Ovis aries: one gene and its partner. The protein of the gene in region 1 purifies or fractionates together with the protein of each later gene. This does not show direct contact. Links are inferred from orthologs where the notes say so. Each region holds a gene or a part of one and is shown on either strand. Other genes may lie near its edges.

Region 1 (5,372 bases):
GGGGCAGGCCGTGGGGCCGCCGCCAAGGCCGGCCGCGCACTCCCGCCGGCCTGCTCCGCGGAGACGCGGCTCCGGCCCGACTCCGGCCGGTCCGGCGGCGGCGGCGGCGGCGGCGGCGGCGGCGGAGGTTGCGGCGGCCACGATCGCTTCCCCGAGCGGGGAGCCGGAGCCCAGAGCGCCTAAGCCCAGGCCGGAGCGCCCCCGCCGGCGCCGCCCGGAAGTGCGGGGGCGGGGCCCGGAGCGTCGGGCGGGGCCTGGAGCGCGGGGCGTGCCCAGAGCGCGGGGGCGGGGCCGGGAGCACCTGACGGAGCCCAACGCGGGGACAGGGCGAGGAACGCGCGGCGCGGAGCCACCGGCGTGGAGGCGGGGCTGTGTGGGCGGGGCCGAATAGTGGGCGGGGTCAAAGGCGGGGGGAGCCGGGCGCAGAGCGCGAGACCGAGCCAGAGAGCGAGACCGAATCCGAGCGCTGGGAAGGGCCTGGAGCCTGGGGCGGAGCCTCTGCCGTGGAGGCGGGGCCTGGGCGTGGGCGTGGGCCCTGAGCGTGGAGGCGGAGCCAAAGGCGTCCAGGCGGACGGGAGGCGTGACGCAGAGCCCGGCCGAGTGGGCATCCTCAGATATGTCACTGGGGGCGGGGCCTTGGTATGGGCGGGGCCAAGACGCCGTCGAGGGTGACCCCGGAGGGGGTGCCGGAAACCGCGCTGGTCCCCTGGGGCTGTGTCACTAGGGAGGGTGCCCCGAGCGCCCAACGGAGAGACGGCCTTCAGGCGGCCCCGGAGACGCATGCCAGGTCGGAGCCCTTTTCTGCTTCCCACATGGTGTCCACTGACCCAGGGCTCCAGAGGTCAGCACCCCAGTCCCGGCCCGCCCAGCCGGACTGCCACGCCCACCGAGCTCCCTGACCCGGAAGACTCTCGAAGAAGGACGGCCACCGACTGCCCCTGGCATGGAAGAAAGCAGGTGTCCAAGAGTTGGACGGTTGCAGGGCCAAGCCAGGCTGACCAGGAGCTAAGCCCCGAGTGACATACAGCCTCGTTGTCCCCCTTCTCCATGCCTACTGCCTCCTGGTCAGCCAGGACCCTGAGAAGGTGGGCTTGGGCTCTGCCCTCCCTGAGTCCCCGTCAGGTCACACAGAAGGCATCCAGGGAGTGCTAGTTGTCACTAGGGCGAGAGCTCCAACCTCCAGAGAGAGCTGTGGGCGGGATGGCCTGGCCCCATCCCCGCTGGTCCAGCCCGCCTGGGTTTCACTCAGGCACCATCCAGGGTCCTGGCAGGGGCTTCACTTCCCACCACTGCCCCACAGGTCCCACTGGCCCAGGCCAGCCTGAGAGCAAGGGCTTCCTGATGTCCCCACACCTGCAAGACAACTCCCTCACCCTCACTGTCGCCATGGCCTCCTGGCCTGTTCTGCAAGCCCCGCTGGCTAGCTCCTGGGGTGCCCACCCATCACCAGCCCCTCCCAGAGGAGAGATGTGGGCACCAGGAAGTGCCCCTGCAGTCCACCCCCACGATCACCCAGGACCTCATCCTCCAGCTGTGCCATGTCAGACCGGGCACCTTGAGAAATGCTCCCAGGGGCCCCAGGGCCTGGCTGTACCCCCTTGTACACACAAGCAGGTTGAAGCTCAGGCCACACAGGGATCTGCTCACGTCCTCCAGACCTGGGGCCCCGAGTCCCTCACCTGTCCCATGCTGTCCCTAGCACCCCCAGTCCCTCTGTCCTAGGCTGTCCCCAGCAGCCAGCCTGCTCCCTGGGGCCCTCACAGTCTTCAGGGCTCTTCCCTGGCTGCCTCTGGTCACTTGCCCCCAATCCCTGAGGTCATCTCTGATGCCACTACCTCTTCCCAGGGACACTACTTGCCCCCACTGCCCACTACGAAGGGAGGAAGTCCAGGCTCTGGGCACTCCCCCACCAGCCAGCCTCCTGCGCAGCTGCCCACGACTGGCACCTGCCTGAGGTGCACAACACGGAAGCACCCCAGCTCTAGCAACCAGCTTTCTAGGGCTCAGTACAGCCTCCTCCAACACCCAGGCTTTCATCCGTGAGGGAGGAGGCCATCAGGGAAGTGCCCCAGCCTGCTGATGGCCCAGGCCACCTCTGAGGGCTGTCACCACACCCAGGACAGGCTGGGCAGCGGCAGTGGCTACGGTGGGTCAGCACCGCAGAGGAACAGCACTGATGAACCCAGCTGGACCGACTAGGGTCCTGGTGGCAGGTGTCACTCTCTCACATCCCCTGGATGGCCCCAGGCTTCCCAGGGCTGGTACAGGAGATGGCTTTGCAGCCTCTCCCTGGCTCTGTTCAGCTGCAGAGTCTTAGAGGCAGAGTGGCACAACAGGGTCTGTTTGGGCTGCAGGAGTCCTGGGTGGGCTGGACAGACAGCAGGGCCTCCAGGACATCGGTCCTCAGGCTGTCTTCCCACCACCAGACACGGGCCCCCAGTGCTTGCCTTGGTTCTGCAGAGCTGCTGCTGTGGCCAGGCCAGGCTCCCAGGGTCGTGTCCACATCCATCCTCCTCCTGGCCCATGGTGGCAGATGTCCCCAGGCCCTGGGACCAGAGCAGGGCCCTCGCACCTCCGGCTCCTCGGGGCCCTCACCCTGTAGGGACAGGAAGGGAGTCAGAAAACCTCGAGGAAAGGCTGCAGCCCACTTCCATGGGCTGTGGCTGTGGGCACTCAGGGTGGGGACGGGGGACCCCACAGGAGGGAGCTCAGGGAGGCTCTGGAGAGAGGGAGGCAGGGAGGGCAGTCCTGGGGGCCTGTGCTGGAACAGGGGTGGCTGGTCAGAGGGACTGCGTCAGCCACCCAGAGCTGTGATCAGACAAAGCCGCGGGAGCCTGGGAACAAGGAAGTGCAGGCTGGAGCCCTTTCTCCTACAGAGGGCCTTTCCGATGCACCCTCCCCAGGGGCAGCAGTCTGCCGCTACAGGCTTTGATGTGATAAACTGTGGATGACGTGTGTTCAGGCTTTCCAGGAACTAAATGAAAAACTTAAAACCAGAAAAGAAATTATTTTCTTCAACTTAAGACATAAAAGGAATATTTGAAACACAGTGAGCTCTGAAGCCTTACAGGTGTTTGTCCACTTGGCTGAGGAAGACCATTTATCCTAAGAAATGATCCACAGGAATCATCCGTGATTGACTGAGGAGGCACGCTGAGGGGCATCAAGCCTGATGCCACATGTGAGGGACGAGCCCCCGGGATGGGCTACTGCTCATGAGGTCCGCACCGCCTCCCAGGAGGGGAGGACAAGGAAGAGGCTGCTCTGAGTCGGCCTTGTAGAGGCAGTCCTGCTTCGCAGGCAGAGCCTCTTCTGGGTTCTGCATTTTCTTGCGCCTCTGCCTGGTCACAGGTGTGCATGGTGGGGGTGGGCAGTGGGCAGGCAGGTGAGGACCTGAAGCAGAAGGAGGCCTTGGCTCATCCATTCTGACGAGGGCACGCGGACTTCCAAGAGGCGGCCCCAGCCGCAGGAGCCACCTGCCTTTCTGGCCATAAACCCGGCCCCCGGGGCTCTGCATCTTGTCCAAGTGTGCTTTTTCCATCAGCTCTGAGCTCGGAGCGGGTGGGGGGAGCGGGTGTGCCCCCATCACAAGTTTGACAAAGGATGCGGAGTCGTCACACCAAGGGCGTGAGATACACACCAAGTAGAAAGGCTCAGAGCCCACACACACGGTACCCGCCTGGGTGGGTGCAGAGGACATGCCTGTAAAGGCGGGAACCACCCCAGAGCACCCACACTGGAGGGGATTGGGGCCGGGCTGCGGTTTCTTCGTGTGTCAGGAAGGACCACAAGGACACTAATGTTGTGATCTTAGGAACGCCAGGAAGCTCTGCAGCAGGCTATCTTCCCATCAACGGTCGGTACAAATTAATCCAACAGAGACAGCTGCAGGGCGAGGACCTTGGGCTACGGGACAGAGCTGATCCCTGAGGCAGTGTCAGGCTGGGTGTGACTGCTGTGGTTGCCCCCGAGAGTCTGTCCTAGGACCGGCAAGGAGGTACGCCTCCTGGGCCAGCCGGCTCCGTGGCCACCCGTCTGGGCCTTTCTGAGCCCAGGCTTGGCCTCTGACAGGTCCTCCACCTCTTTCCACCTGTGTCCGGCTCCTCTCGCCCTTCATACCTGTAGGCAGGAGTGTCCTTCAGGCTGGCATTCTGCATCCCTCTTACTGCCTGGACTTCTCTCTCCAGCCTGCAGCCAAAGCTGCCACAGACAGGTCAACCAGTAGCCACCTCAGCCTAAGTGCCAAGCAGGGAGGGCAGGGGACAGGAGCAGGGCTTTCCTCAGACAAGCTGGCTCCAAGGCCAGTTCAGTGGCGCAGCCGATACTTTCTGACCCTGCTGCTTTCTGTCATCCAGTCCCAGTGGTCTCCACTCCTAGGAGGTGTTTCATCCTACCCAGACCTCTCTCAGGCCAGGCGGTCCCACCCAGAGTGGAGAAGGAAGCATTCTGAGCACCCTGCCATTGCGGGCATTCTCAAAGACAACCAGCTGCAGGGGTCACCTGCTTGTTCCGCTTGTTTGGAGCCCCGAGTCGCAGGCCCAACAAGCCAGCGCCACACTCATCCCAGGGTCCCTGAACAGATGACTCACCCAGCAGACCTGAGAGCCCCCATACCCCTGCTGGCCCCTAGGAGTCAAGGGTCAAGTCCCAAGCCAGCACACTTAATCCCAGGGTGCCCTCCACACGTGCCCAGCTCGGGTCTTACCCTGTGTCCTGAGGGGGTCGCGTCACTCCAGGTCAAGGGGCATGGCAGGGCCACCCTCCTGTACTGCCTCTCTGGTGGATTCTGACCACAGGGCTGTCTGTTAGGCTCAGGGACGGAGGCCAGGTGTTGAGGGTTTGATGTCCAAGGTGGCTCCCAGCAGCCACTGGGGCCTGGGAAGGAGGAGGGGCGAGCAGCGCCCCCCCACCCCAGCCCCACACCTCCCCAGCTTGGTGCTTCAGGACCCCCTGTCCAGTTCCCACCTCCCTGAATACTTGAGCACCTGCCTGCCTCAGGCCAGCCAGAGTCTCCGGGCACCTCCCTGAGCCAGAGTGCCCTCCTCAGCAAGTAAGGGTGCCGACCTGCTGCTGGCCTCAGAGGTCTGTGTGCAGCCCTCCATGAACAGGCATAGGCCACGAGCTGGACCCTACGCTGGCCGTGGTCCAGGTCGAGTGTCTCAGACACATCACCAACAGAGGACTGGCCGCCCGGCCCCGCCCACTCCCAGGGCTTTCCCCAGGAGTGGCAGATCCAGGCAGAGGGGCCAGGTCCCCGAGGGACGCCTGCCCTCCTGCTGCACTGACCTCATACTGGGTGGACTGGCACCCCTGTCCTCCCTGTTCCCTGTCCCAGCTGTCCCATCCCTGAAGGCCTCTCCTGGGGCAATGAG
Region 2 (5,246 bases), on another chromosome or scaffold:
GGTAAGGTGGTCTGGTATTCCCATCATGTGAAGAATTTTTCACAATTTGTTGCGATCCACACAGTCAAAGGCTTTAGCAGAGTAATGAAGCAGATGTTTTTTCTGGAATTCCCTTGCTTTCTCTATGATCCAACGGATGTTGGCAATTTGATCTCTGGTTCCTCTGCCTTTTCTAAATCCAGCTTGAACATCTGGAAGTTCTGGGTCTTTTCTGGTTGAGATTGTAAGGGGCCTTTCTACCTTGGAGCCATACAATCTCAACCAGAAAAGACTGTCACTTCACTCATCCTGCTTGCCAGCCACTCCCTCTCATTCCTAATTTTGCTTATACAACTATCCTTTGCTTAACCAAAACCCCTCTAATTTCTGGAGGCTTCCCAGGACAATATCCCATGTACACACAGATCTCTCATCTCTCTCCATGGCAGGTGTCTCTAGATTCATGAATTAGCTGGGGACTGGGCAATGCAGGTCCTGAGATTATAGACATTGTGCTTTATTTTTTTTAAATTGTAGATGAAACCCATTCCCCTTCTCAATCTTCATTATGTATACTCAATAAATACATGAGACTTGAGTATCATTTTTCTAATCATTTTCATGTGAATCAGGACAAGTGCCAGTTGGGAACATAAAGGTCTTCTCCAAAGCTTGACAGACATTAAGTCCTTCCCGAGCATTCATCACCGCTATGCATTGCTAGGGTTTCATGGAACTTTGGCTGAGATTCAGGTTTCATTTACCCCTGTAAGAAGTTTGGGCAGAACCCAGACATCCATGGTATCAGGGAAACAAAGTAGAGGCAGGGAAATTTAATTATAGTTTTTTTCCTAAGCCAGAAAATCCCAAGGGATACAGGTAGCTTGAAGGAGTTCAGAGTTCTGAGAAAGAAGAGGTCATCATGGATTGCAAGAGATGGAAAGACACTAAGGAGATAGGCCCAGAGCTGAGAGGGAAGAGAATTTGAACATTGTAGGGTGAGTGAGTCTGAGTGTGGGGAGGGGTGTCATATAGGGCAGGTATGTTGGGTGGCTGCTGGTTTGAGACAGTGCAGAGGACATGTCTAGCTCTGAACCACAGATGCCCAGATGCAAGTAGGGGATTGTATTGGTGCTTGGTCAAAGTGAGAGGAGGTGACTGTAGTGTCCTATCTGCAGTTCTTGCTAGTGTCACAAAAGTCCCCAGCCAGCCTTCCATTAAAGTGAGGGATCTACTGGGTCTCATTTTCTCCTCTCATAGGTACCTAGGCTTTGCCAGGGACCTGTAGTGTACAGAGTTTTCCACCCTCAGAGGTGTGTTAAAGGTCCAAGAAGAGCCTTTCAAGTCCCTAGATAGCTCCTGGGCTTCCCTGGTGGCTCAGATGGTAAAGAATCCACCTACAATGCAGGAGACCTGGGTTCGATCCTACAGTTGAGAAGATCCTCTGAGGAGGGCATGGCAACCCACTCCAGTATTCTTGCCTGGAGAATCCCCATGGACAGAGATGTCTGGTGGGCTACGTCCATGGCATGGCAAAGAGTCAGACACGACTAAGCAACTAAGCACAGCACAGATAGCTCCCTCCCTCTTGTTCCTCAGAAAGGCCTAGAGTCCACAGAAAGGGGCACACTTCCGCTCAGACTGAGCAGTGGGTGGGGCCAAATGAGGGGAGCTGCACTGAGGGAGGGAGCTCTGCTGGACTCCTCAAGGGGTGGCTGGGGAGTCCAACAAAGCAGGACCCTCCATCAAGCCCATGTGAATGCAGCAGGCAGGTAAAGCTGCAGGAGATATTTGTGTGAGGGCCAAAGGTTCACCTTGACTCCCGTGGCCCATGCCAAGGCAAGCTTGGCCCATGGAAGCTGGCTCTGCAGGGCCTGTCCTGAGCTGTGGCACGCCTAGCACAGCCCCTCACTGCCAGGAGAGCCTAGACCAAGTCTGATGGTCACCAGTCAGAGGTGTCTGCAGCAGACAATGACAACGGCCCATAAGGCTGGGTATTTTCAGTAAATTTGAAGTTGGAGGATTTGGCTGCTTTTCTAGCTCTCTCACACACACCCAAACGGCTGTTTCTCTACTACAATAATTGCTCCCCCGACCTATGGCACAGAACCGCGCCCCCGCCCCCTGCCCCCCGCCACACACACACACCACACCACATCACACCATGGTTATCGCTATTTTTAAACCAGAGGTTGGAGAGAAAAGCGCGGCCAGTACCCTCCAAGGGGACAGGAGGCGAGGCTGGGCGGGGGAGGGGGAGCAGGGACAGGAGAGAGGCCCGGGGGCGAGGGGGAGTTTGACAAAGCGGCCTTGCAGCTCTAACCCAAGGACTAGCTTGAGCTGCTGCCCTAACCCAAGGTACTGCGAGAGATGGGTTGCCAGCCTCTCTGTCCGCGGGGGCGGGCGCCAGATGCGCCCGGAAGCCTAGGAGCAGGGGGCGCGGCTGGTTGGGGCCTCAAGGCCGAGGTTCCAAAGGGAAGTGAGCAGCCCACAGGCCCAACTGAGCTCCTCGAGGGAGGAGACAAAGTAGATACCCCAACCCACGCCAATGCAACTACCCGTCGGGCCCAGGCCAGCGCGTAGGCTTCGTCCCTAGAGGAGAGGGAAAGGCAGGAGATGCGCCGGGAAGGGGAGGGTCGGCAGCCGGGTCGCTGTGATGAGCGATACTCGTCTAACACAGCTGTTCCAGCTAATGTGCTACAACAAAGCTGTAGAGCTCCGGGCCTACAAAAGCACCGCTGGGGGTGCTGGTTGGCTTCTCCCCTCACGAGACCACAGGGCAGCACGTGCGGGTTGCGTCCCCTTCCTCCCCCGAGAGCCCCAAGGCATGGCCCAGGATAGTCCGCTGGCCTGCCTTCCTTTTTCCACCTCTAGCCGCGGTCTCTAGCGCTCAGAGGACATGGCTCTGACCCTCACCAGAAAGTCCTTAAAGCTGGTTCCAAAGGGGAGCGCAGAGCGGTCCGGACGCCGACCGGCCCAGCCCTTAGAGCTCCTTTCCAGGCGGCCAGAGTGGAGCACGCGAGACTGCACCGTATGGCGGGCAGGCGGAGGCTCCTGCTGCGCGCAATGCTTACCCGGCCCGGTCCGGTTTCCAGCCCGGTTTTTGTCTCTTGCGCCGCCCTGGCTGGAGCTGGAGCCTTGGCTGCTACGGCTGAGAGCGTCGCCACCGCCGCCCCTGCCGCCGCCGTGGCTCCAGTCACCTCCAGCACCAGCTCCCCTTCCCCAGGCTCTGGACTGCTCCCCCATACCCCTCCCCCGCCCCGGACTTCACAGCCACAGGGTGGGGCATTGGCTTCCTGATTGGCAGGCGTGTGGTCCAATCACCACGGTGAGAAGGCGTTTCCTGACTCGCCCACTGTTTTCCTTGGTGTGTTTCTCTTTAAATGCAAATAAGCGCGGGCGTGGTGTTGGCTGGGGGCGGAGAGGCTCCAGAACCCCTAGCGGGGACTCCTCAGTCCCCCACCCTCTCACGCCCGGTGGGTAGCTGCTTGGCGACACCGTAAGCTCCAGGGGCTGGTCCCGTCAGTATGGAGCTCTCTGGAGCCCGGTTTCGCTTTTGCAGGCGCTTTTATTTCCGTGGCCGAGGTGCAATCGGGCCGCGGCGCGCTGGCCGCCACCGGTAGTTTATTCCAGAGAGGCCAGCTGGGACAGGCGGGGTGGAGAGGTTGGGGTTCCTGGGGGACTACAACGCACCCTCTGCACTTTGCTGCCCCACCCTTAGGCATAGAATCAGGGCCCGGGCGCCTGCCCCGGAGCCGCTCAGAGGGACCCACCTGCCAGGAAAGTCAATTGCAGCTCCAGCGTCCCAGCTTCCTCCACCTTTTCGGCACACTGGAGGCTTAACATAGAGTCCAGCTTCTACCAGTTACTGAAAAGTCTGTTGCTGCCGAGAGAAGAGAAAGTGCTTCCCCAAGGTCACCTATCCTGCTAGTAACTGGGGCAGATTTGGAATTCAGGACCCGGGCTCCCAGTCCAGGGCTGCTTTCACTTTTCTTCTTTGTAAAGACCTGTTTCCGTGATTGACTCTCACCCTAATTTCCCACTTTTTATGGAACTTGAGGAGATCCCCAAAGTCTCTAGTGGCCCTCTCAGCCCTTTGATGTTCAGCTAGGCTTTGTGCAGTTCCCTATCCCTGAAAAACCTGGGTATTGAGAGAAAAATCTTGTCTGGGCTCAGACTGGAGGTCAAAGTTGAAGGTGGAATGAGGAGGCCTGTAGTAGTCCTGCTGCTGATGTGTCTGGGATGTGGTAGGGGGCCAGCCTGAACTTGGGTCTCTAGCCTGAGGGCATTAAATGGCATTGGTGGCTGTCAGGGCCAGGTGAACTGAGGCAGCAAAGAATCCAGTTCTACCACTAGCTCAAGAGTATCCAGAAGGCCCAGCCCTAAAACTCTGTGAATGTCTAAAAAGCAGGGGAGCGGGGCGAGGAGGGGTGGAAGTGATACAGTTGAGGAGGGGGGAGGGATTAGAGAAGGATGCCTGCCATTTTTTGCATTGCAGGAGGAGTGCTCTCTGTTGTTCTATTGGGTTCTATCTGCCTTGAAAAGATCCAGCTGCTAAACTGGTAAGAGGAGGACTACTGCCCCTGTGTGTGTGGACCAAAGGAAGTTACACAGTTGCTAGGGCTGGAATCTGCTCCAGCTCTGCCTCAGACTTGCTGTATGACCTTAGTCAGTCCGTTTTCTCTTGTGGGTCAGACCATTACACCATCTCCACAAGGAGGGTGTAAAACTGGTCAAGCATATAGAGTCTTCCAACTCTGACAGTTCAACTCAATTTTTTTATAATATTACATGATTTTCCATGACATTCTATACTTTGTCAACAAACATCAGTATTTTAACATCATAGCTCCTCTCCTCATCTTAGGTCCAAATAAATGTCAGAGAGAATGGGACTGCGGCTGTCTCATTGTGCAACTTTGTTGGGCGAGTGCCTTCTTCTCCCTAGCCTCAGTTTCCCATTTAGATGGCTGGACTGTAATGTTTCCCTGGAGCTGTGATTTCCTGTTTTGTAAAGCCCTGATTCTCATTTATTGGACCTGATTTGGAGGTGTCTTTTTTCCCAGTACCTCCTTCATAAACTTCTTCACTGCCTCATGCCTCTGGTTGCCTGCCACCTGTTCCCATTTCACCCAGAACCTTGATTCTCTGGAGTAGACCAAAGATTACAATTTGGAGGAGACAGTTTCTAAATCTAGAGTCCAGGGAAACATGAGGCCAGGATAGTTTCAGCTGTGGGAGCAGGAAGATGAGATGTACAGAGTAGT

Evidence for each region.
Region 2: the proteins of AXIN1 (region 1) and AMER1 purify together in Homo sapiens (affinity purification with mass spectrometry; 4 studies listed by BioGRID and IntAct, with this or other methods). This does not show direct contact. The link is inferred for Ovis aries from reciprocal best matches to the Homo sapiens genes AXIN1 and AMER1.

Annotation. Positions count from the first base shown.
Region 1 is NC_056077.1:882,729-888,100, forward strand, and holds the start of AXIN1 (axin-1), read right to left. Parts: upstream 3,557-5,372; 5' UTR 2,448-3,556; intron 204-2,447; exon of another isoform or gene 1-203. UniProt on the Homo sapiens protein: Component of the beta-catenin destruction complex required for regulating CTNNB1 levels through phosphorylation and ubiquitination, and modulating Wnt-signaling.
Region 2 is NC_056080.1:46,617,994-46,623,239, forward strand, and holds the start of AMER1 (APC membrane recruitment protein 1), read right to left. Parts: upstream 3,224-5,246; 5' UTR 3,054-3,223; intron 3,041-3,053; exon of another isoform or gene 2,896-3,040; intron 1-2,895. UniProt on the Homo sapiens protein: Regulator of the canonical Wnt signaling pathway.